3 linked regions of the Stegostoma tigrinum genome follow. The protein of the gene in region 1 purifies or fractionates together with the protein of each later gene. This does not show direct contact. Links are inferred from orthologs where the notes say so. Each region holds a gene or a part of one and is shown on either strand. Other genes may lie near its edges. The genes, in order: myosin-9-like, sptan1 and enkur.

The links.
Region 2: the proteins of myosin-9-like (region 1) and sptan1 fractionate together in Homo sapiens (co-fractionation; 3 studies listed by BioGRID and IntAct, with this or other methods). This does not show direct contact. The link is inferred for Stegostoma tigrinum from reciprocal best matches to the Homo sapiens genes MYH9 and SPTAN1.
Region 3: the proteins of myosin-9-like (region 1) and enkur purify together in Homo sapiens (affinity purification with western blotting; 4 studies listed by BioGRID, with this or other methods). This does not show direct contact. The link is inferred for Stegostoma tigrinum from reciprocal best matches to the Homo sapiens genes MYH9 and ENKUR.

The regions. Positions count from the first base shown.
Region 1 is NC_081391.1:3,548,257-3,555,225, forward strand, and holds the start of myosin-9-like, read left to right. Parts: upstream 1-3,893; 5' UTR 3,894-4,065; intron 4,066-6,969. UniProt on the Homo sapiens protein: Cellular myosin that appears to play a role in cytokinesis, cell shape, and specialized functions such as secretion and capping. Required for cortical actin clearance prior to oocyte exocytosis. Promotes cell motility in conjunction with S100A4.
Region 2 is NC_081382.1:41,948,882-41,956,621, forward strand, and holds the start of sptan1 (spectrin alpha chain, non-erythrocytic 1), read left to right. Parts: upstream 1-4,644; 5' UTR 4,645-4,670; intron 4,671-7,653; 5' UTR 7,654-7,716; coding exon 7,717-7,740. UniProt on the Homo sapiens protein: Fodrin, which seems to be involved in secretion, interacts with calmodulin in a calcium-dependent manner and is thus candidate for the calcium-dependent movement of the cytoskeleton at the membrane.
Region 3 is NC_081355.1:121,134,077-121,142,058, forward strand, and holds the start of enkur (enkurin), read right to left. Parts: upstream 3,037-7,982; 5' UTR 2,966-3,036; coding exon 2,730-2,965; intron 1-2,729. UniProt on the Homo sapiens protein: Adapter that functions to localize a calcium-sensitive signal transduction machinery in sperm to a calcium-permeable ion channel.

The sequences.
Region 1 (6,969 bases):
CACATTGGTGGGGTGGGGGGAGATTCTGCCACACTGGGCCGAGATTCCAGGGTGAGGCACTGCCATGCCAAGCTGAGAGACTGCCATGGGCCATTGAGAGACGGGGCCAAGACACTGCCATACTAGGTTGAGAAACCAGCATGGGCTGCTGAGAGATGGGGCCAAGGCACCACTACATTGGGCCGAGAAACTGCCATGGGCCACCAAGAGACTCAGCCGAGAGACTGCCAGAGGCTGAGAGGAGACCTCACTGGGTCTGCATTGAGGCCGCGTGTGAAGAAAAGAAACACCAGGAGAGAAAAAAAAGAGAAAGAAATAGGAAAGAAATGGATAGAGTGGATGACCTCCTGCTGAAGCATCCTACTCCGGTGCCAATAGGAGGAAAGGAGCAATGTGTGTATCATCTTCTTAATATCACATCAGGGAGTGATACACTACTGTCTACTACAGACAGATAGTTTCAGGACAGGATTTCTCTTTCTTTGAGGTCAGTTTAGCTCAGTTGATTCTCATCTTTAAGTCAGCGGCTTCAACCTTAAAGCTTGCTCCTGGGCTTGAACATATCATCTAGCTGATACTTCAAAAGGCATAGAGAGTGCTGCATTGTTGGAAATGTTATATTTTAGATCAGCAATTAAGGTCTGATCTGTATTTTTATGTGAATGGAGAGATCCTACAACATTATTTATCTGAAAAAGATCATGGGGAGATGGATGATCTATCAATATCATAGGTGATATACTAGTGTTGTCATTAGACTAGTAATCCAGATATCTAGGCTAAAGCTCTTGGGACATGGGTTCAAATCCAACAATGTTCAACTTGAACTTAGTGAATAAATCTGGAACTAAAAGCTAATTTCATGGTAAGCATGAAGTAATTGCCAAAAACATCTGGTTCATGAATGCCCTTTGGATTGGGAAAATTTGCTATATTCACCTGGTGTAACCTGCAGTGAGCAAAGCAGTACTTACTCAGCAATAACCTACTCACTGTCGCTCAGTTTGTCTGGCCCACTGAGTTACTGTCCTCATTATAGGCTGGGTCCAAACATGAATAAAAGAGATGAACCTGTGAAGGAAAGTGAGGGTGATTGCCTTTGACATTAAGGCAACATTTGAACAAGTGTGGCACCAAGAAACCCTAGCCAAATGGGAATCAGAGGGAAAGCTCTTTGTTACTTGGAGTCATATTTAACGTAAAGTAAGATGTCTGTGGTCGTTGGTGATCAATCATCTTAGCCACAAGAAATCACTGCAGGAATTCCTCAGCTGTTTCAACAATTATGCACCCTTCATCATAAGGTCAGAAAGGGGCATGTTTATGGATGATTACACAATATTCAGAGCCATCATAGCTCCTTACATACTGAGGTAGCACAGTATGGAGCTGGAGGAACATAGCAGGCCAGGCAGCATCAGAGGAGCAGGAAAGTTGACGTTTTGGGTCAGGACCTTCTTCAGAAATGGGAAGGAGCAAGGGAGCTCAGAAATAGAGAGAGGGGTGGGGCTGGGGAAGGTAGGTGGGATGGTGATAGGTGCGTGCAGGTAGGGAGTGGGGGGATTGGTCGGTGTGATGTGTTGGGTAGATAGAAGATCGACAAATTGTGTCAGGTCAAGGAGGGGGGATGAGAGGGAGGGTTAGACACGGGATGAGGCCGGGCATAGGGAGATTTTAAAACTGGTGACATCAGTGTTTAGGCCATTGAGCTGTAGGCTCCCAAGGCAGAATGTGAGGTGGTGCTCTGCCAGTTTGTGGGTGGTGTCATTGTGACACTGAAGGAGGCCCAGGATAGACATGTCACCCAGGGAGTGGGAGGAGGAGTTAAAATGGTTGGTGACTGGAAGGTGTTGTTGTTAGCTCCGTACTGTATTGTCTCTGACTCCGGCATCTGCAGTTCTTGCTATCTCCTTAGATACTGAAACAGTCAGTGTCCAAATGCAGCAAGATCCTGACTTGGGCTGATAAGTGGAAAGGAGCATTTGCAATACACAAGTGCCAAGTAATGACCATCTCCAACAATACAGAATTCAACCATCTGCCCATGATGCATTATCATTCATAGTTGAATCTCCAACTATCAATATTCTGGGGGTTGCCACTGACTAGAAATGGACCATGACTAGCAATTTTAAACAGTGGCTAAAGCAGTATTAGTTAATTTTTCTTGATTCCAGGGCGGTCAAATGACATTCCAATCATTCTATCAAGATCATAAAACTCCACAACAACTTTTTAACAAACTTCTTGTTGCAGTCACTTCATGAAAAATAAATTAATGAAATGGACTTGACTATGTTGCCACTTGGTGCATATTGATTTAAATTCATGGTAGACCAAATCAAATGCCACAGAACCTAGATCTACCAGTTGTGGTGTTCATTCACTGTTTAGTTAGTTATTCAATTTTCAAATGGTGCTTCTACTGTCAGTTGTAGGATGCTTATGATCAAATAAGTCAACACAAACCAAGAGTGAATCAGGGGACGTTTGGGTTTTGGAATCATTGGACTTTCAAGTCATTGAACAGCCACTTATTGAATTGTTTTGGCAGCTTTGGTATGGCCTTTCGTCAGTTTGAATACCTTTCTTATCAGAGAATGTTCAGAGCTGCTTGTTATCAATTGCAGGGAAAATGATATGATGTGATGTGATAGAATGAGTATTTTTACGACTGTTAACAAGAAGTAATGATATACACAAAAATATTAATACAGAATAGAATCCCAGGTAGTGTAGTGCAAAAAACATACATAATTTAGGAATCGACTGGATTCTGTAAAGGGAGGGGAACCTTCAGAATAGTCTGCATTTCTAAATTGTATGCTGATGTCTGTAATTTTGTTATACTGGAAAGTGTGATTGAATCAATTGAACATGTGAGGATATTCATCTTGGTCAGTGGTGCAAAACGGGCAGTACTGGAGATTTTTCTATTCAACTTGTTCAGAGATGTAATTAAACACATTTGGAGCAGAAGTTCTGACAGAATAACTGGATTTGAAACCTTAACTCTGTTTTTCTCCCCAAAGATGCTTTAGACTTGCTGAGTTTCTCCAGCAATTTTTGTTTTTGTTTCAGAATTATTTGCAATTTTTGTCTTTGTTTTACTTTTAAGGCAAATGAAAGGTTGGCTTTTTTTCCAGTCAAAATTGTGTGTGTGGGTAGAGGGAACTCAGTGTGGACCCAGTGGAGCACAGCAGGCCAGGCAGCAACAGAGGAGCAGGAAAGTTGTCGTTTCAGGTCGGGATCCTTCTTCTGAAGATTCTGTTCTGTCAGATAGAATAAGGTAAGATTTTTAATTAGTAAGGGAACCAAAGGTTTTCGGAAAAAGGCAGGTAAGTGGAGTTGAGGTTTATCAGATCAACCGTGGTCTCATTAAATTGGAGAGCAGTTTCAATGGGCTGAATAGCTCAATATTTCTTAACAATGTTCTTATTCTTACCTGGTCAAGCCTACGTGACTCCAAAGTTCCAGTAACATGGTTATTTCTTGACTTCTCTCCGTACAATTAGGGATAGACAGCAGACGTTGGACCAAACAGTTTTGCCCACATACCCATCAACAAATAAAATAAAAATTAAGGCTAAGCAAGTCGGGAGCTACCAATCCCTTCAATTTTGAGCTTTTACCACATCCCCTCCTTCAATGTCCTTCTCCGTTGGCCGACCGAGATGTCGTTCAATCTTACCTCATCACTCCATATGACTGCGGCATTAGCCACTTTCCTGGCTTTGCCGCTGTAGGAGGAGTTATCAGTCAGTTGGAGAGGGAGCTGCCCCGACGATGGGGGATTCTTTCTTGCTATTTGTTATATCGTCTGCCACTCAACTAGCACGGCGCCCGTCTATTGGTCAGGGGTGGAAGTTTACGTCACGGGTGGGATCTGCCCAAACGGTTGGTGCGCGAGCTGCAGTTCGAGAGCTCGAGCGAAGCAGTGAATCGTGACGGACGGACAGCATTTTTAAAATTTTGGATTAAAAAGCGATAAGCAAAGTCCATCTATTTCTATAGATTATAATTCAGGAAGGCGACAGCGTTCGAAAAAAAACTTGAATCTCGGAGGTAAGCGACAGTTTGAAAAAGCACCTTGTTTTTGGTCGATTTATTAAGGCGGAAAAGGGAGAGAAACCAGGAAGAGAGTCAGACACCGGGTTGGGCCGGCGCGCTCGCCGCAGGCAAGAGGCTCCCGACCCAAGACGTCAACTTTCCTGCACCTCTGATGTTGCCTGGCCTGCTGTGTTCCTCCAGCTCCACACTGCTGTCTCGCCACGGGCAATTTCGTTCCTATCAAATTTAAATACTTTTTCCTTTTTAAAAAAAAAGTTCAGAGGATAGCTTTGCTCTATCGACTAACTCTACTGACGAATTTAAAAACTACCTTAATCTGCAAAAGAATTGAGTTTTTTGGAGTTAGTGTGAGCTGGATTGTTAATGCATTTTTGTAATTTTCAAACTCGTGCTAATCAGGGGACAGGTAACATGGAAACCGCCTTTCGCGTTCCAGCCACTATAAAAATGGGCTTGGCTTCCGCTTCTTCGGTTGTATGAACTCCCTGCCTCCTCTTAAAAAAAATCAAATGTGATTTTTCTCTCAGTCTAAAATAATTAGTTGGTAAGATAGCAGTTAAAATGATTACGTCTCTGGGACGTGGAATGCTGGCGAGAGGCATTTCATTGATTTAATATAGAGCAGAATAATCCACTCTTATGTACGCAATTGTCCTATATAAAATATTTTTGGTATCATTTAGCTTGCATAGTTATGTTCTGTTCCAGGACAGTAATGAAAAGCTGCTTTTATGAAGTTAAAATAAAACTTTGAATTTTGAAGAGAGGAGAATTCAATCTTTTCCCCAAGTGCCCATCCCATTATCATTAAAATTGTCAGCACCCTAAGGACAGTAATTGACTTTCTTGTTTCTGACAAGTAAAAACTATGGTGTGAAATGTTACTGTTATAATATCTAACAATTCATTTCCAAAATTAAATGCATAAGGAAACTTTGAAAACGTGGGTTATATAATTTGTGTTTAAGTAAAACACCCTTATGCACCTAGAATATAACCTTTGAATACTTCCTTTTAAAATGGTTAGATTTTTGTTTAAAAAAATTGTTAATTGGATAAATTACATATTCCCCAAATTTGGAGATGATGGTTTAAAAGGAAGAAGTTTAGATGGTGTACAGCTTATTTACCTGAAAGTACTGCAAATGAGGTCATTAAACTGCTTTGCCATATGATAGCTCTTTACCTTCTGCAAATCCTTAGGGCTTCTGCATGAACTAAAGCCCCACCCAGTTCGAAGTGTAAAACTGTAATGTAAGTCAAGAATGACTCATGGAGAAGTGTGCTGATAACTTACAAAAGCCTTCCCGTTAGCTGACTATAACTTTTCTGGAATTTGAAAATGTTATTGCTTCAAAATGCCTGGTAGCTTATACTGCCTACTAGTGAAGGATGCATTTTTACAGAGGTTAAGAATGTCAAAACAAGCTTGAATATTTCCAAAATGCATACTGTTGTTTTTCTTCTGATACTATGAATAATGCAGCAGTGAAATGCTGAGGATCACTTTCCTCATGCTTTTGTTTCCAGTAATGTGACATTGATCAAGCTTTTCTTCTATAAAATTTACATTCACCCAAACTTCTGTTGCTCATGTTCTATGCTTAACTTTTGCTCACCTGTCACTGTTTGAACTATTTGACTTCTGGTTTTGCAATGTTTTGATTTTAAAATTATCATCTTTAATTTTGAGTCCATCTCTTTCCCTTCAACCTCTGATCTCTAGCACTACAGGCTTCAGATTTTTGCACTCTTCAAATTCTGGCGGCTTGTGTGTCCCCATTTTTTCATCCCTGTATAATTGATAGCCTTTGGCTGCCTGAGCCCTAAGCTGTGGAATTCCCTCATTCAGCTGCAGTTCTTCTGTACCTTTTCTTCCTCCCATCCAACCTCGTCTTATTTATTTGAGGTGCTTTATTAAAACCATCCTCTTGTCTGTTTTAATGTCTTGTGTGGCTTGATGTTTAAGTTTGTATGTATTGTTCCTGTGCAGCACCTTGAAATGCTTCATTATATTAAAAGTCCCAAATAAACTATTTATCTACATGATTTATAAGATTTAGTCCATTTAAGTTAGTGTATCTTTCAAAATGTTGTCTGAAATCTCAATATTGTCAATGGGGAGGTTGCCCTGCTTCCTATTTGAGAATAAGTAATTAATAAATTGAGCCATAATTTACTGCAGTAAAAAGACCGTGTCACTTTCAAATGTGGCAAAGGACTTTTGACATTTCTATGGCATTTCAGAAGGTACTGAAATCTTGTAGTTTTGGCATTTGGACATTTTGTAATTATTGAAGTTTTAACTCTGTTATCTTCCTTTAGCTTTATGAAATCATTTGGAAAAAAGTAATCTAAATACTCCATTTGAAATTTCTAAGCTATTTAAATATAATGTTTTTGTACAGGACTAACTTCTGCAGAAATTATCATCTTTTCTGAATGTTCACACTTGGAAAAGGAATTTGGTAGTCAAATGGAACAATAATATAATATATTTCATAAAATAGAATTGGTAATTTATAAAAATCAAACCTGCATACCTTGAAGGTAAAAGCTAAAGGTATAGGTGACAATATGTCTGTATACGATCAAGGTATAAGTAGTCCAAACTCCTTTTTGTCTTGCATGATTTCCAAGTTTCTAGGGCATCAAGGTGTGGTGGCGTGCTTAAGAATGTAGAGTGGTGTTCTGACTTGTTCATGATGGATGTTTCATGTTTCCTTTGCACTGTCTTGCTTTGTTTCTTTCTGGAAAAGCTTTTACATAGGGAGCAGAAGAACAAAAAATGTGAAGTACTTTTTAAAAAGTTGGAAAGAATTTTAATGATATTGGTCTGTATTGGGTACTGTATTCTGCCAAAATTTCAGTGTACCATTCTTGATAACTTAAGATATT
Region 2 (7,740 bases), on another chromosome or scaffold:
AAAATCCCCCATTCATGTTACCATCTAATATATCTCCTTTGAACTCTCTCCAAGGCTTTAAGTCTTTTCCTTAAAAAAGGTGTCCAGAACTCAAAACAATACTCCAGATATTAACTGCTCAATGATTTATAGAGGTGTAGCACCATTACCTTGCTTTTATACTCTATGCCTCTAGTAATAAACCCAAGGATCCTATAAGCCGCCTTAACAACTTTTTCAAGTTGCCTGGCCATCTTCAGAGAATTACACACTTGAACCCTGAGGTTTTTCTGCTCCTGTACTTCCCTCAAAGTTGTACTATTGAACCCATACTGTCTCTCCAAGTTTCTTCTAACAAATCCATGACCTGACTTTTTTGCATTGAAATTCATGTCCATCAGAAGTCACTCAGCATCATCCTCACAATTCACTATTCTCCTTAGCTTATAGATTTTGCTGTCAACTCCCATCTCCAAATCATTTATATAAATCAGAAAAAGGGTCCCAACACCAATCCCAGGGAACACCACTTTCAACTCGTCACCAGTTTGAGAAATGTCCATCTATACCTACCCATTTTTTCCTATATTTTGACCAATTTTTAATCCATGCTGCCAAAGACTCATAAATTCCAAGCATTTCTAATTTGCTAACCAACCTGCAACTTGGCACTACAGCATACACTTTCTGAAAGTTCAAATATACAACATCCACAACATCACAAATATACTCTCATCCACTGCCAATGTCACACTGTCAAAAAAACTCAATTACGTTTGTCAACCATGACCTGCCCTTGACATGTTGACTGTCTAGTATTAACTAGTCTTATGGCACAGAAATAAGCCATATGGCCCATTGTGCCTGTGTGGCTTTTCAAAAGAGCATCATTATCTAGTTGCAAACTTATGCACATTATTTTTCCACTAAATCTCCAATGCCTCTTGAATGTCTCAATTGAACCTGCCTCTTGTCCCTTGTCCCTGAACTTGTCCCTTTCAGGGACTGCAGTCCAAACCCTAGATAACAAGGTGTATAGCTGGATGAATTATCTCACAGTCCAAACCCTAATCACTGACTGCATAAAAATGATATTTTTCCTCAAATCATTTTTTTTACAAATCATTTTATTGTTCCTTTTACAAACTTGAACAGTTTCTCCCTATTGATTTTATCCAGGCCACTTTAATTAACAGTTCAGTCTCCATAGTTCTGCTTTCATGCACTCATAGTTGCCCTTATTTTAGTTACAAGCGTGATGGAGACTCATGTGGCACAATGAAAGTGTCCCCAGGAGTCCCAGGTTCAAGTCCCACCTGTCCCAGAGGTATATAGAACATACAGAACATAGAACATTACAGCACAGTGCAGGCCCTTCAGCCCTCGATGTTGTGCTGACCTGTCATACCGATCTCAAGCCCATCTAACCTACAGTATTCCATGTACGTCCATATACTCATCCAATGACGACTTAAAAGGACGTAAAGTTGGCGAATCTACTACCGTTGCAGGCAAAGCGTTCCATTCCCTTACTACTCTCTGAGTAAAGAAACTACCTCTGACGTCTGTCCTATATCTTTCACCCCTCAATTTAAACCTATGCTCCCTCGTGCTCGCCATCATCATCCTAGGAAAAAGGCTCTCCCTATCCACCCTATCTAACCCTCTGATTATTTTATTTGTTTCAATTAAGTCACGTCTCAACCTTCTCTCTAATGAAAAGAGCCTCAAGTCCCTCAGCCTTTCCTCATAAGACCTTCCCTCCATACCAGACAACATCCTAGGTAATCTCCTCTGCACCCTTTCCAAAGCTTCCACATCCTTCTTATAATGCAGTGACCAGAACTGTACGCAATACTTCAAGTTCGGCCGCACCAGAGTTTTGTACAGCTGCAGCATAACCTCTTGGTTCCGGAACTTGATCCCTCTATTAATAAAATCTAAAACACTGTATGCCTTCTTAACAGCCCTGTCAACCTGGGTGGCAACTTTCAATGATCTGTGTACATGGACACTGAGATCTCTCTGCTCATCTACACTACTAAGAATCTTACCATTAGCCCAGTACTTTGCCTTCCGGTTACTCCTACCAAAGTGCATCACCTCACACTTGTCTGCATTAAATTCCATTTGCCACCTCTCAGCCCAGCTCTGCAGCTTATCTATGTCTCTCTGCAACCTACAACATCCTTCGTCACTATCCACAACTTCACCGACCTTAGTGTCGTCTGCAAATTTACTAACCCATCCTTCTACGCCCTCATCCAGGTCATTTATAAAAATGACAAACAGCAGTGGACCCAACACCGAACCTTGCGGGACACCACTAATAATTGGTCTCCAGGATGGACATTTCTCATCAACTACCACCCTCTGTCTTCTTTCAGCAAGCCAATTTCCGATCCAAACTGCTATATCTCCCACAATTCCATTCCTCCGCATTTTATACAATAGCCTACTGTGGGGAACCTTATCGAACGCCTTGCTGAAATCCATATACACCACATCAACCGGTTTACTCTCATCTACCTGTTTGGTCACCTTCTCAAAGAACTCAATAAGGTTTGTGAGGCACGACCTTCCCTTCACAAAACCGTGCTATCCGTAATCAATTTATTCTTTTCTAGATGATGATAAATCCTATCCCTTATAACCTTTTCCAACACTTTACCAACAACTGAGGTAAGGCTCACAGGTCTATAATTACCAGGGTTGTCTCTACTCCCCTTCTTGAACAGGGGAACCACATTTGCTTTCCTCCAATTGTCTGGCACTATTCCTGCAGACAATGACGAGTTAAAGATCAATGCCAAAGGCTCGGCAGTCTCCTCCCTGGCTTCCCAGAGGATCCTAGGATAAATCTCACCCGGTCCAGGGGACTTATCTATCTTCACCCTCTGTAGGATTTCTAATACCTCTTCCTTGTGAACCTCAATCCCACCTAGTCTAGTAGCCTGTATCTCAGTATTCTCCTCGACAACATTGTCATTTTCTAGAGTGAAGACTATTGAAAAATATTCATTTAGTGCTTCCCCTATCTCCTCTGACTCCACACACAACTTACCACTACTATCCTTGATTGGGCCTAATCTTACTTTCCTCATTTTTTTATTCCTTAAATACCTATAGAAAGCCTTAGGGTTTATCCTGATCCTATCCACCAACAACTTCTCATGTCTCCTCCTGGCTCTTCTGAGCTCTCTCTTTAGGTCTTTCCTGGCTACCTCGTAGCCCTCAAGCGCCCTAACTGAGCCTTCACATCTCATCCTAACATAAGCCTTTTTCTTCCTCTTGACCAGAGATTCCACCTCCTTCATAAACCACGGCTCCCGCGCTCTACAGCTTCCTCCCTGCTGACAGGTACATACTTATCTAGGACACACAGGAGCTTTTCCTTGAATAAGCTCCACATTTCTAATGTGCCCATCCCCTGCAGTTCCCTTCCCCATCCTATGCTCCCTAAATCTTGCCTAATCTCATCGTAATTGCCTTTCCCCCAGCTATAACTCTTGCCTAGTGGTATACACCTATCCCTTTCCATCACTAAAGTAAACATAACAGAATTGTGATCGCTATCACCAAAGTGCTCACCTACTTCCAAATCTAATACCTGGCCAGGCTCATTACCCAGTACCAAATCTAATGTGGCTTTGCCCCTTGTTGGCCTATCTACATACTGTCAGGAAGCCCTCCTGCACACACTGGACAAAAACTGACCCATCTATAGTACTCGAACTGTAGTGTTCCCAGTCAATATTTGGAAAGTTGAAGTCCCCTATAGGTATATAACTCTGCTGAACAGATTGATGAGAAAATAAAAATCTACAAGAGCGAGTCTTGAACCCAAGGGTCATAGAATATAGAACAGTTTTCTGAAGAAGGGTCTCAGCCCGAAACGTCAGCCTTCCTGCTCCTCTGATGCTGCTTGGCCTGCTGTGTTCATCCAGCTCTACGCCTTGTAGCACAGAAACATGCCCTTTGGCCCACGATGTCTCAAATACCATGAAGCCTCTCAAAACTAATCCCATCTGCCTGCACATGGTCCATATCCTTGCCTTGTTTATGTGTTTGTCCGGATGCCTCTTAAACTATGCTGTAGCCGAGTCTTCTCTCCCTCACACGTTAGTCTGGACAGCACTTCTGGAAGCAAAAGGAAGTTTTGAAAGCGGTGTGGTCAGGGTGGAGATGTCCAAAGATGCGCTGTTTAGGTGGACGGCCATGCTATTTTGGCCCATAGTGACCAGGGATGTACAGGCGAGGTGGGTTAGCCATGAGAAATGCAGGGCTATGGAGACAGACTGGGGTTGGGTGTGGGTGGGATGCTCTTCGGAGAGTCGATGCAGACCGGATGGGCCGAATGGCCTCTTTCCGCACTGTCCGGTTTCTATGAGGCTGCCGAAAGGGTATCCCGGGCGACGGACCGAATTTTCCGAAACCGTTGCGCCATCCGAGCACGGAGCCGGTACAGTATCGGGAGACGGAAAGGGCCGAAAGTGACGTCGTGGCCCCGGCGACGGAATGTGCCGAAGGTGGCCCCGCGGCCTGGGTGACGGAAAGTACCGAGGCTTTTCGGGTTCCTTCGTTTCCTTGCTGCAGAGCAGTGACATCATCGCCGCGGACGGTAAAAAAAGGCCGGTGCGAGCCCGGAGCGAGAGAGTCTGCAGCGATCATCGAGTCGTCGACAACCTTCGGTATGTTTCATACTTATCTGGAAATGTAACGTTTTTTTTGAGGTAGAAATGAGCAGTCGGTCGTCCGTTGAAGGCCACTTCTTTCATTCAAACGGGCACACTTCTTTGCCGCGTTTCTAATTTTGTCTTTTCTCGGAAATATAAAAATGTTTAAAACGAGGAAGCTGTGAGCTAAAATATTTAAAGCATACATTTTCCTTGATGGGTAAGTTGTAAGGGTTTCAGTTAAAGTCGATTTTGTTTTCGGGCGTTGACGCCCGTCTGAGGAGAGCGAAGGAATGTTTGCTAATATATTTTTTTGATCGATAATTATACAGTATATTTCATTTTCAATGTTTTCCTTTTTCGAAGAAAACTTGGCAAATGGAAAATGTAGATTTGTTTTCCTCGTTGCGCATTTTTGTCTCGGTACGTGCATTCACAGACACCACCACAGCATGTTTAAATTCTGTTAGATATGGATTTTTCTCAGGTTTATTATTGTCTTTTCAACCACAATGGACCTTAAAATGGCTGCGGGGGAGGGTGTCCTGCGGCTGTGACCGCAACAAGGTCAGAGAAAATCATATAGATATATAAAACACAATTTGGTGGGTAATCCGTTCTGAGGTTGCTTTGGGTTAAAAAAACATTATTGGCCTTCCACGCTGCATTAGGCTTCATCCCCGGGCATGGGGGAAAATTGTTTTTTAATCTGAAATTAATCCTCCCCAGAAATGGGGACAAGGTTGGGTGAATGGGGAGTGCAGAACCTGTCAGCCATACAGTAAATAGACTTACGGAGTAGGGGCTACAGTTGGTGGCTGAAGAAAAAGTTGTACAGAAATGGCCACCGTTTGGTGAAAATATTGGCATTTTGTGGGCTATATTATGATGAAATATTTATTAATGAGAAAGTTGATGCCTGATATAATTATTGGGATGTTGTAGGTGATATCCAAAACGATTTATTGAAAGAATGCCAACTGCAGAAAGTCAAGATTCATTACGTGTAATTTATTATTGTGGTAATTGATGTTTGGAAGAGACTATTATTCTATAGTAACAGATGTAAAGGCATTTTTTTAGCAACTGTTGCAGACAGGAACATATCAAAAAGGAAAATGCTTCACCAACATAGACCCTTAAAAATTTGAGAGCAGAAAGCTGGGTGGGGCTGAGGATAATGAATTACTGTACAAATGTTCAAGAATTGTGGTAGATGAGTGCTATTTTTGGCTGTTTTTTACATACATGTTCCTTGCATTAATTACAGCTGATTTCTTCACACACCCCCCCCCCCCCGCACCGGTCTGCAAGGTATAAAGTATTATTCTGCCTCTTTTGTGGTTTCATGCTAGGTAAAATTGTTTCTGTTAAGGTTTCCTTTGTAGTAACTGATACATTTGTTTTGACTTCTTAAATTATGTAAATATTTACTTTGTTCTCCTGGCTTCTTAATTAAGCAAATTGTCATCAGTGTCCGTGTCCAACTTTGTACTTGCAGCTTAATATTCAGTAGAGAGGTCAGGCCTGAGTATTATAAATCTAGCTGTCATGATGTAATCATAAGAGACCATGAATTTCTGATGTGTGACATGATATGAAACATTGGCTCATTCTTCATGGATCATTTCATGGATGGATGGATCAATCAGCATTAGGTTTGAATGAGTTTAGCAAATGTGAATGGAATAGAAGCTAGGGAGTTCAAACTATTTTTGTGCGGTTCAGTCATCACCCAAGAAACCTTCAAAAATGTACATAAAACAAGAAATGGCAGATCTCGCAACATATGTGGGGTGGAAAATTTTCAGCTAAATGCTTCAAGCCCAGTGTCCCTATTATAAAAAGAAATCTGCATGTTCACTCATTAACCTCCATGTTCTTACTTCATAAAATGTAAATTGCTGTCTGGAGTTATGCATAATTTAAATACTATCTCAAATATGTAGGGAGGAGACTATTTTATGGTCAAGAAAACAGTTAAAAGTGTAAAATGGTGAAAAGTCCAAAGACCATTGTTAAGAATGTCATTTGGTAATTACAAAATTCAAGTTTAAGCTATGTATGCTATGTCTCAATACACGATTTAATGTTAAAATCCAAATAATTTATATATTATAATATGTGCTGTTTCAGATCTGGTACCTTTCTTAACTCAGAAGTATATTGCAGTTAGGAATCATCACCGTTCTGAACTGTTATATTTGTTTCGCTTCGCAGCTGCTACCTGATCTGCTGAGTATTTTAAGCTCTTTGTCTTCTATACTGCAGGATTTCAGCATCTGCATATGGGACAAAGTTTTTTTGGTTTTTTAAAAAAAGCTTTTTTATTTTGGATGAGGTTTTTTTAATCTATTCATTTTGTGAGATGTGGGTGTCACTGGCTGGCCAGCATTTCTTGCCCATCCCTAGATGTAATTTATTGTGAGTCCCTTTTTCTTTTGCTTCAAAGTTAGAATATCTTCCTATACTGACTGTGTGTGTGTGTGTGTATTGTTTTTGATGAATTATTTTGGAAAAAAACAATAGGGGATTAATTATCTGGAAGTTAGAAGGAAATTTTGCAGTGCAAGTGTTTAGTGTACTGCGTCACCAAAAAATTGTGCAGTGCACAAGTGTGTTCAGGGTGGGGTTTTTTTTTGTATATAGCTCTGGTGATAGGAAATATTTTGAATATCATCTTTCAGTTTATTAAAAATACACGCTATTTTGAATAAATCAATAAATCTTTTTCTTTTTGAAAAAAAAGTACTTTTACTGTAAACATTGTAATGGATAATTTCATGGGAGAAATCAGGATGGAGTTAATCTGTATTCCTAATTGAATGTGGGGTGTGGAATGAGATGTCTGTTTGAACTTCAGTTACAATATTCCAAAACGTGAGTCTGGCAGCTGTTGCATTTTAATGATGCAGCTGGTACAGACGAACTCTACAAAATTTGGCAACACAAAATTAAGACTAAACCTTACTACTGTATCTGATTTTTTTTTCTATAGCGTTTGCTGTATGTGAATTGCTTCTCAGTTGTATAATATATTTATCAAACACCACCATCCAACATGTCGTCCTTCCGCAAAATCAAA
Region 3 (7,982 bases), on another chromosome or scaffold:
ATCATTTGAAAACCCTTCCAAAAAAAATCATTCCTCCCTATTGGAGTAACTAACTTGTTAATTAATAGTCCAATACCATCTCTTCTATTGCATCCTCCCCACCTCTCCTAAAGATCCTAAACACCAGAATGTTGTATTGACACTCCTGTTCCTTCCTCAACCACATTTTTGTGATGGCAACAATATCAGAATTCCATGTGTCAATCTGCACCCTTAACTCTTCAGCTTCACGTATGATACTACTTACACACTTGCAATTCAATATAGCTGAACTCTATCTGTCTTGGCTCCTTTATTATAGTAAGTTGTGTCCTTATTGTCCTAATACTCTGTGTCCCACCCTCCTGTTGAACTAGCTTAAACTCCTCCCAACAGCTCTAGCAAACCAATACACAAGGTTCCATTTTGGTTCAGATGCACAATGCTTCACTTGTGCTGGTTCAACCTTTCCCAGAAATGGTCCCAGTAATCCAGGAATCCCTCCTGCCTGCACCTTCTCTATTGCCATGTATTCATCTGCCCTATTCTCCTATTTCTATACTTGTTAGTACTCATGTTAAGCAAATCATCTAAGTCAATGACTGGGAATTTAAATATCATTTAAAAGATTATTAGCCTCCAAGGGGATTGCAACAGCTGGTGATTGCACAATATTCCATCCAGCTTCCTTCACCATTTCTCTGATAATGATATATATGAGTAGCAAGCCCTGGACAACATCCAGACTTAGGCTGATAAACAGGGAGTATTACAATCCCCGTAGACACTAAAAACGTTTTAAAAGAGATTTTCAAGTGACTAATAGGTGGAACAGAAAAATAAGGTTCCACATTTTAAAATTTTTACTGTAAACAGAGGATATTACAATCCCTGTAGACAATGAAAGAATTTTAAGAGATTTTCAAGTGACTAATAGGTAGAACTGAAACACAATGTCCCACATTTTAAAACTTTTTCTGTAAACTTCCTAACAAATCTGTCTCTAAAATTGTCTGAGGGGTAGAATTAGCCACGTTGTCTTTCCTGTGAAAACAACACAAAGAAATGTGAAATCTTTTTTAAATGATGGAAAACTCCAAGGTATCTATTTCAAAGCCACTGAGATCTATCGTGTAACAGTCTCTTGTTTGTTACAATTCCCATAAAGTATCTAAATTTTATAAAGAGATGAATTTCCCCTGCAACTGACAGGAAGAACTAAAAGGACAAGATGTTAAGAATTGTTCTTTGCCAGAAAACTAAAAACTTACAGAGATCAAACATTACTGAGTGGCAACTAATACATTAATCTCAAAGAAGCATGATTTTCCATTTACAAAATGTTTCAGTGCGCCATACTTTGAACAGATTTGTAGCATTTCAAGAACAGTTCCACAGTCACTCCTAGCTCGCCAATGGAATGTCACTTCTCCCTACCACGTCAGCCTCCAGTTCAAACAGCAGCTGTCTTTTTAACATCTTTTTACTCCCACCTCAACAGATTTCTGTTCGCGCCTCTCCTCTTATGACAACCAGATCATACAGATATGTGTCTGAGCTGAGGTGTTTATCCAGAATTCCATGTTTCATTTTGAATGAAAAGTATATTTCATAGAATAAGTAATATTTACCTCTCAAATGCCAAACAATAACCATCTCCAATAAAAAGGGACATAAACTATATCTGCTTGACATTTAATAGCAATATCATCAGCAAATCCAGAAGAAATACTTTCCTAATGGTTATTAGTGATCAGAAAACTTAACTGGACCAGCTGCATAAATAAATAGTCAAGATAAGGTATCCTGCACCAAGTGACTCACCTTAGCCCCAAATGTCTGTTCACTACCTCTTCACAGCATTCAGGAGATTCAAGACCAGGCTGGACAAAGCTATACACTTGACTGCAAACCATTCTCCAAGTTAAAGATTCAAAAATTCTAAAACCATGCTTCTTATCCCCCATTATTTGTTCTTCTCAGACACATCTTTATTCATTCTCTCGTTCTTTATGCTTTCCACTTTTGACTCAATTTCTCTCATTCCGTCCCTTGAGAGTCTCCTTTCCATTCATTCCTTCTCTTCATCTCAATCTCTGCGGCTTTATATCACTTTTCTGCCCCCTTCCCTTTCGGTAAATTCTGTCTCCCTCAGTCCTCCATATCAAAGCAAAATCTCTCCCTCCATACTCTAGCTCGTCGTTGACTCTCTCTCTCCAAACCATAACTCCGTTCCCTTATACCCTCTCTCCAACCATCACCTTCACTCTAACCGCACTCACCTGTTCCTTCTTTCCAAACTCTAAGATCCAGATTCCCTCTACCCTCTCTTCCCTCATTTGAAAAACCCCACTCTCTCTCCTTCCATGTCTCCAAATCCCCTCACTGTCCTCAACCCGCACTCATTCACTTTTTTGTCATTTTCTCTGTCCGTCGTCCCTCCTCTCCTTCCGCCTATCCAAGCCCTCTGTCCGTCGTCCCTCCTCCTCTAAACCCCATCTTTTTCCTCCATGCACTTCTTCCCTCTCTCCAAACTCCCCATCTTTCTCTTCCATCTATTCGCTCCATCTCTCCAAACTCCCTCTCTCCATTCCCCACATTCTCTTTCTCCTTCCCTTCCCTCCCCACATTCTCTCTCTCTCTCTCTCTCCCCAAACCCCCGATCTTTCGATGGGTCTCCTACTCCCTGAACGACACCTGGCGGGGTCAGTTCCATGTTTTGGAAACAAGCATTCTGTCCGGAAACTCACTTGAGGCGGTGGCGAGGCGGAGGCTGGGGCCGGGGCAGCAGGTTGTAAATACACTCACTCGGAGTCTCGTCGTCCATCGCGGAGATCCGACAAACCGTTTGAAGCTGGTGGAACGAGAAAGACCACGAAGCCACGTTGCCATAGCCACCGTTACCACCAACAGACTTAGGCCAGCATACGTCATTTCCGAGATAATAAGATGTGAAGCTGGATGAACACAGCAGGCCCAGCAGCATCTCAGGAGCACAAAAGCTGACGTTTCAGGCCTAGACCCTTCATCAGAGAGGGGGATGGGGAGAGGGAACTGGAATAAATAGGGACAGAGGGGGAGGCGGACCGAAGATGGAGAGTAAAGAAGATAGGTGGGGAGGTAGGGAGGGGATAGGTCAGTCCAGGGAAGACGGACAGGTCAAGGAGGTGGGATGAGGTTAGTAGGTAGCTGGGGGTGCGGCTTGGGGTGGGAGGAAGGGATGGGTGAGAGGAAGAACAGGTTAGGGAGGCAGAGACAGGTTGGACTGGTTTTGGGATGCAGTGGGTGGGGGGGAAGAGCTGGGCTGGTTGTGTGGTGCAGTGGGGGGAGGGGACGAACTGGGCTGGTTTAGGGATGCAGTAGGAGAAGGGGAGATTTTGAAACTGGTGAAGTCCACATTGATACCATATGGCTGCAGGGTTCCCAGGCGGAATATGAGTTGCTGTTCCTGCAACCTTCGGGTGGCATCATTGTGGCACTGCAGGAGGCCCATGATGGACATGTCCTCTAGAGAATGGGAGGGGGAGTGGAAATGGTTTGCGACTGGGAGGTGCAGTTGTTTGTTGCGGACTGAGCGGAGGTGTTCTGCAAAGCGGTCCCCAAGCCTCCGCTTGGTTTCCCCAATGTAGAGGAAGCCGCACCGGGTACAGTGGATGCAGTATACCACATTGGCAGATGTGCAGGTGAACCTCAGCTTAATGTGGAATGTCATCTTGGGGCCTGGGATGGAGGTGAGGGAGGAGGTGTGGGGACAAGTGTAGCATTTCCTGCGGTTGCAGGGGAAGGTGCCAGGTGTGGTGGGGTTGGAGGGCAGTGTGGAGGGAACAAGGGAGTCACGGAGAGAGTGGTCTCTCCGGAAAGCTGACAGGGGAGGGGATGGAAAAATGTCTTGGGTGGTGGAGTAGGATTGTAAATGGCGGAAGTGTCGGAGGATAATGCGTTGTATCCGGAGGTTGGTAGGGTGGTGTGTGAGAACGAGGGGGATCCTCTTGGGGCGGTTGTGGCGGGGGCGGGGTGTGAGGGATGTGTTGCGGGAAATACGGGAGACGCGGTCAAGGGCGTTCTCGATCACTGTGGGGGGAAAGTTGCGGTCCTTGAAGAACTTGGACATCTGGGATGTGCGGGAGTGGAATGTCTTATCGTGGGAGCAGATGCGGCGGAGGCGGAGGAATTGGGAATAGGGGATGGAATTTTTGCAGGAGGGTGGGTGGGAGGAGGTGTATTCCAGGTAGCTGTGGGAGTCGGTGGGCTTGAAATGGACATCAGTTACAAGCTGGTTGCCTGAGATGGAGACTGAGAGATCCAGGAAGGTGAGGGATGTGCTGGAGATGGCCCAGGTGAACTGAAGGTTGGGGTGGAAGGTGTTGGTGAAGTGGATGAACTGTTCGAGCTCCTCTGGGGAGCAAGAGGCGGCGCCGATACAGTCATCAATGTACCGGAGGAAGAGGTGGGGTTTGGGGCCTGTGTAGGTGCGGAAGAGGGACTGTTCCACGTAACCTACAAAGAGGCAGGCATAGCTGGGGCCCATGCGGGTGCCCATGGCCACCCCCTTAGTCTGTAGGAAGTGGGAGGAGTCAAAAGAGAAGTTGTTGAGTGTGAGGACGAGTTCAGCTAGGCGGATGAGAGTGTCGGTGGAGGGGGACTGGTCGGGCCTGCGGGACAGGAAGAAGCGGAGGGCCTTGAGGCCATCTCCATGCGGAATGCAGGTGTACAGGGACTGGACGTCCATGGTGAATATGAGGTGTTGGGGGCCAGGGAATTGGAAGTCCTGGAGGAGGTGGAGGGCGTGGGTGGTGTCACGGACGTAGGTGGGGAGTTCCTGGACCAAAGGGGAGAAAATGGAGTCCAGATAGGTGGAGATGAGTTCGGTGGGGCAGGAGCAGGCTGAGACGATGGGTCGACCAGGGCAGGCAGGTTTGTGGATTTTGGGAAGAAGATAGAAACGGGCCGTGCGGGGTTGGGGAACAATGAGGTTGGAGGCTGTGGGTGGGAGGTCCCCTGTGGTGATGAGGTCGTGAATGGTGTTGGAGATGATGGTTTGGTGCTCGGGTGTGGGGTCATGATCGAGGAGGTGGTAGGAGGTGGTGTCGGAGAGTTGGCGTCTGGCCTCGGCGATGTAGAGGTCAGTGCGCCATACTACCACTGCGCCACCCTTGTCTGCGGGTTTGATGGTGAGGTTGGGGTTGGAGCGGAGGGCTGCCCGTTCTGCGGGGGAGAGGTTGGAGTGGGTGAGAGGGGTGGAGAGGTTGTGGCGGTTAATGTCTCGACGGCAGTTGGAGATGAAGAGGTCGAGGGAGGGTAGGAGGCCTGGGGGTGGTGTCCAGGAGGAGGACTTGTGTTGGAAGCGGGTGAAGGGGTCAGTGGAAGGAGGGTTGGGTTCCCGGTTGAAGAAGTAGGCATGGAGGCGAAGACGGCGGAAAAACTGCTCTATGTCCAACCGTGACTGGTATTCGTTGATGTGTGGTTGTAGGGGGACAAAGGTGAGCCCCTTGCTAAGGACTGACCGTTCGTCCTCAGTCAGTGGGAGGTCTGGGGGGAGGGCTCAGTGTGGCTGTCTTCTCTGGGGTTGCTGGCTGTGGAGGTTGTGGGCGGAGCGATGAGGTCGTCGGCCGTGGGCGGGGTTCCGTCGGCGTCGGCCGTGGGCGGGGTTCCGTCGGCGTCGGCCGTGGGCGGGGTTCCGTCGGCGTCGGCCATGGGCGGGGTTCTGTTGGCGTCGACCGTGGGCGGGGTTCCGTCGGCGGTTGGAGGATGGGGGTGGGCGGCAGCAGCTGAGGTGAGGGTGGTGTGTCGGGTGTTGTACCTGGACGTGGAGGTGGTGACTGCAGCAGCGGTTCCGGAAGTTCTGTGGCCGGCGGAGGCGGATGTGACGTCATCGGTGGGGTCTCCGGCCGTGTCCTCATGGTCAATGGCGGCGGGTGCATGGTGGGAGAGGGGCAGGGACAGAGTCGGGATTTGGGAGGCGCAGGAATCCTCTAGTGGGTGGCAGGGGCCCGTGAGTTGGTTGTACTTACGATTTTTGGTGTCCAATAAAGCTGAGTGGAACTGGGTGTTCAGTCTGTGGATCCTGCGGAGGGTAAAAAACAGCAGGGGTCCTTTGCAGGTCTGGGAGATGGAGGCTCTGAGCTGGGGCAGGCTGGATTGCAGTGTGTGGAGGTGCCGGCACATGGCTGCGAGTGTCTGTTTCAGGAGTCGCAGGGAGAACCGCTTCTGTTTCAGTCATTTCCGCCCCGCTGCCCTATCTGTGCATGGTCAAAACATTGACCAAAACCTGCCCCCACCCGTGGAAGGGGAAAACCAGAAAGACAAGGGAGATTCCATGCATTTGTGGGATGTGGGCTTCTCTGACTGGGCCAGCATTTCTTGACCATCCCTAATTGCCCTTGTGAAGGTGGTGGTGAGTTGCCTTCTTGAATCGCTTGCTGTCCACCTGCTGTAAGTTGGCCCACAATGCTATTAGGGAGGGAATTCCCAGATCTGACCCTGCAACAGTGAAGGAACGGAGATATGTTTCAGGTGGTAATTCTATAAACTTCTTCACCAAAAGGGCTGTGAATCAATGGAATTCTCTGCCCGGTGAAGCAGTTGACACTACCTTGTTGAACATTATTAAGGCAAAGATTGATTTTTGAACAAGAAAGGAATTAAGAGTTCCAATGAGCAGATAGATAAGTAGAGCTGAGTCCATAAAAAGATCAGCCATGATCTTACTGAATGGCAGAGCAGGCACAAGGGGTCAAATGGCCCACTCCTACTCTTGTTTCTCATGTTGTTAAAGTTTTTCCTCTCACTTTGAACCTATGTCCTTTTTTGTGAAGACAGTAGTGATGTATATGTCAGGATGGCGAGTGGCTTTAAGTGGAACTTGAAGGTGGTGCTGTTCTCATACGTCAGCTGCCCTTGTCCTTCTAGATGGAAATGGTAGTGGGTTTGGATGGTGCTCTCTGAGGATCTTTAGTGAAAAAAGTAGAAATAAAGATAGAAAGTAGGTGTTAGTTGTGATGAAGTGGGAAATATTACTGAGGGGAATGACAGTGGATAGGTAATGGCAAACATTCAAAGAGCGAATGGGTGAACTGCAAAAAAATGTTTATTTCTATCTGGTGCAAGAGTGCAGAGAGAACAGTGGCTAAACAATGGGGTATAATGGAAGTTAGTTATAATACTAAATGCAAACAAGAGGTATACAAATTGACAAGAAAAACACCATAAAAAGTCCTGAGGATTGCGAACAGTTTAGAAGTCAGCAAAGGAGGATCAAAAAATTGATTAAGAAGAGGGGAAATTGAGTAGAGAGTAGGCTTGCGGGAAGATAACTGTCAAAGTTCTATAGGTATGGTAAAGAGAAAAAGATTGGTGAGAACTGTTGTAATTCCCTTACAGTCATTAATGCAGGAATTTATATGTGGAACACGAAAAAGGCTGACAACCTAAATTCATACCTCTTCGCAAAGGAGGACATAGGTTCGAAGTGAGAGGAAAAGATTTAAGGACATAAGAAATAAGAGTAGGAGTAGGCCATTTGACCCCTTGAGCCAGCTCTGCCATTCAGTAAGATCATGGCTGATCTTTTTGTGGACTCAGCTGTACTTATCCACCTGCTCATCATAATCCTTAACCCCTTTATTGTTCAAAAATCAGTCTTTGCCTTAATAGCATTCAACAAGGTAGTCTCAACTGCTTCAGAGATAATAGGAGCTGCAGATGCTAGAGAATCTGAGATAACAAGGTGTGGTGCTGGATGAACACAGCAGGTCAAGCAGCATCTTAGGTGCAGGAAAGCTGACGCTTTGGGCCTAGACTCTTCATCAGAAATGTTTACTGACGAAGTGTCTAGGCCTGAAACGCCAGCTTTTCTGCTCCTAAGATGCTTCTTGGCCTGCTGTGTTCATCCAGTCTCACCTGTTTCACTGGGCAGAGAATTCCATAGATTCACAACCCTTTGGGTGAAGAAGTTTATAGAATCCCCACAGCGTGGAAACACGCCATTCAGTCCAACAAGCCTG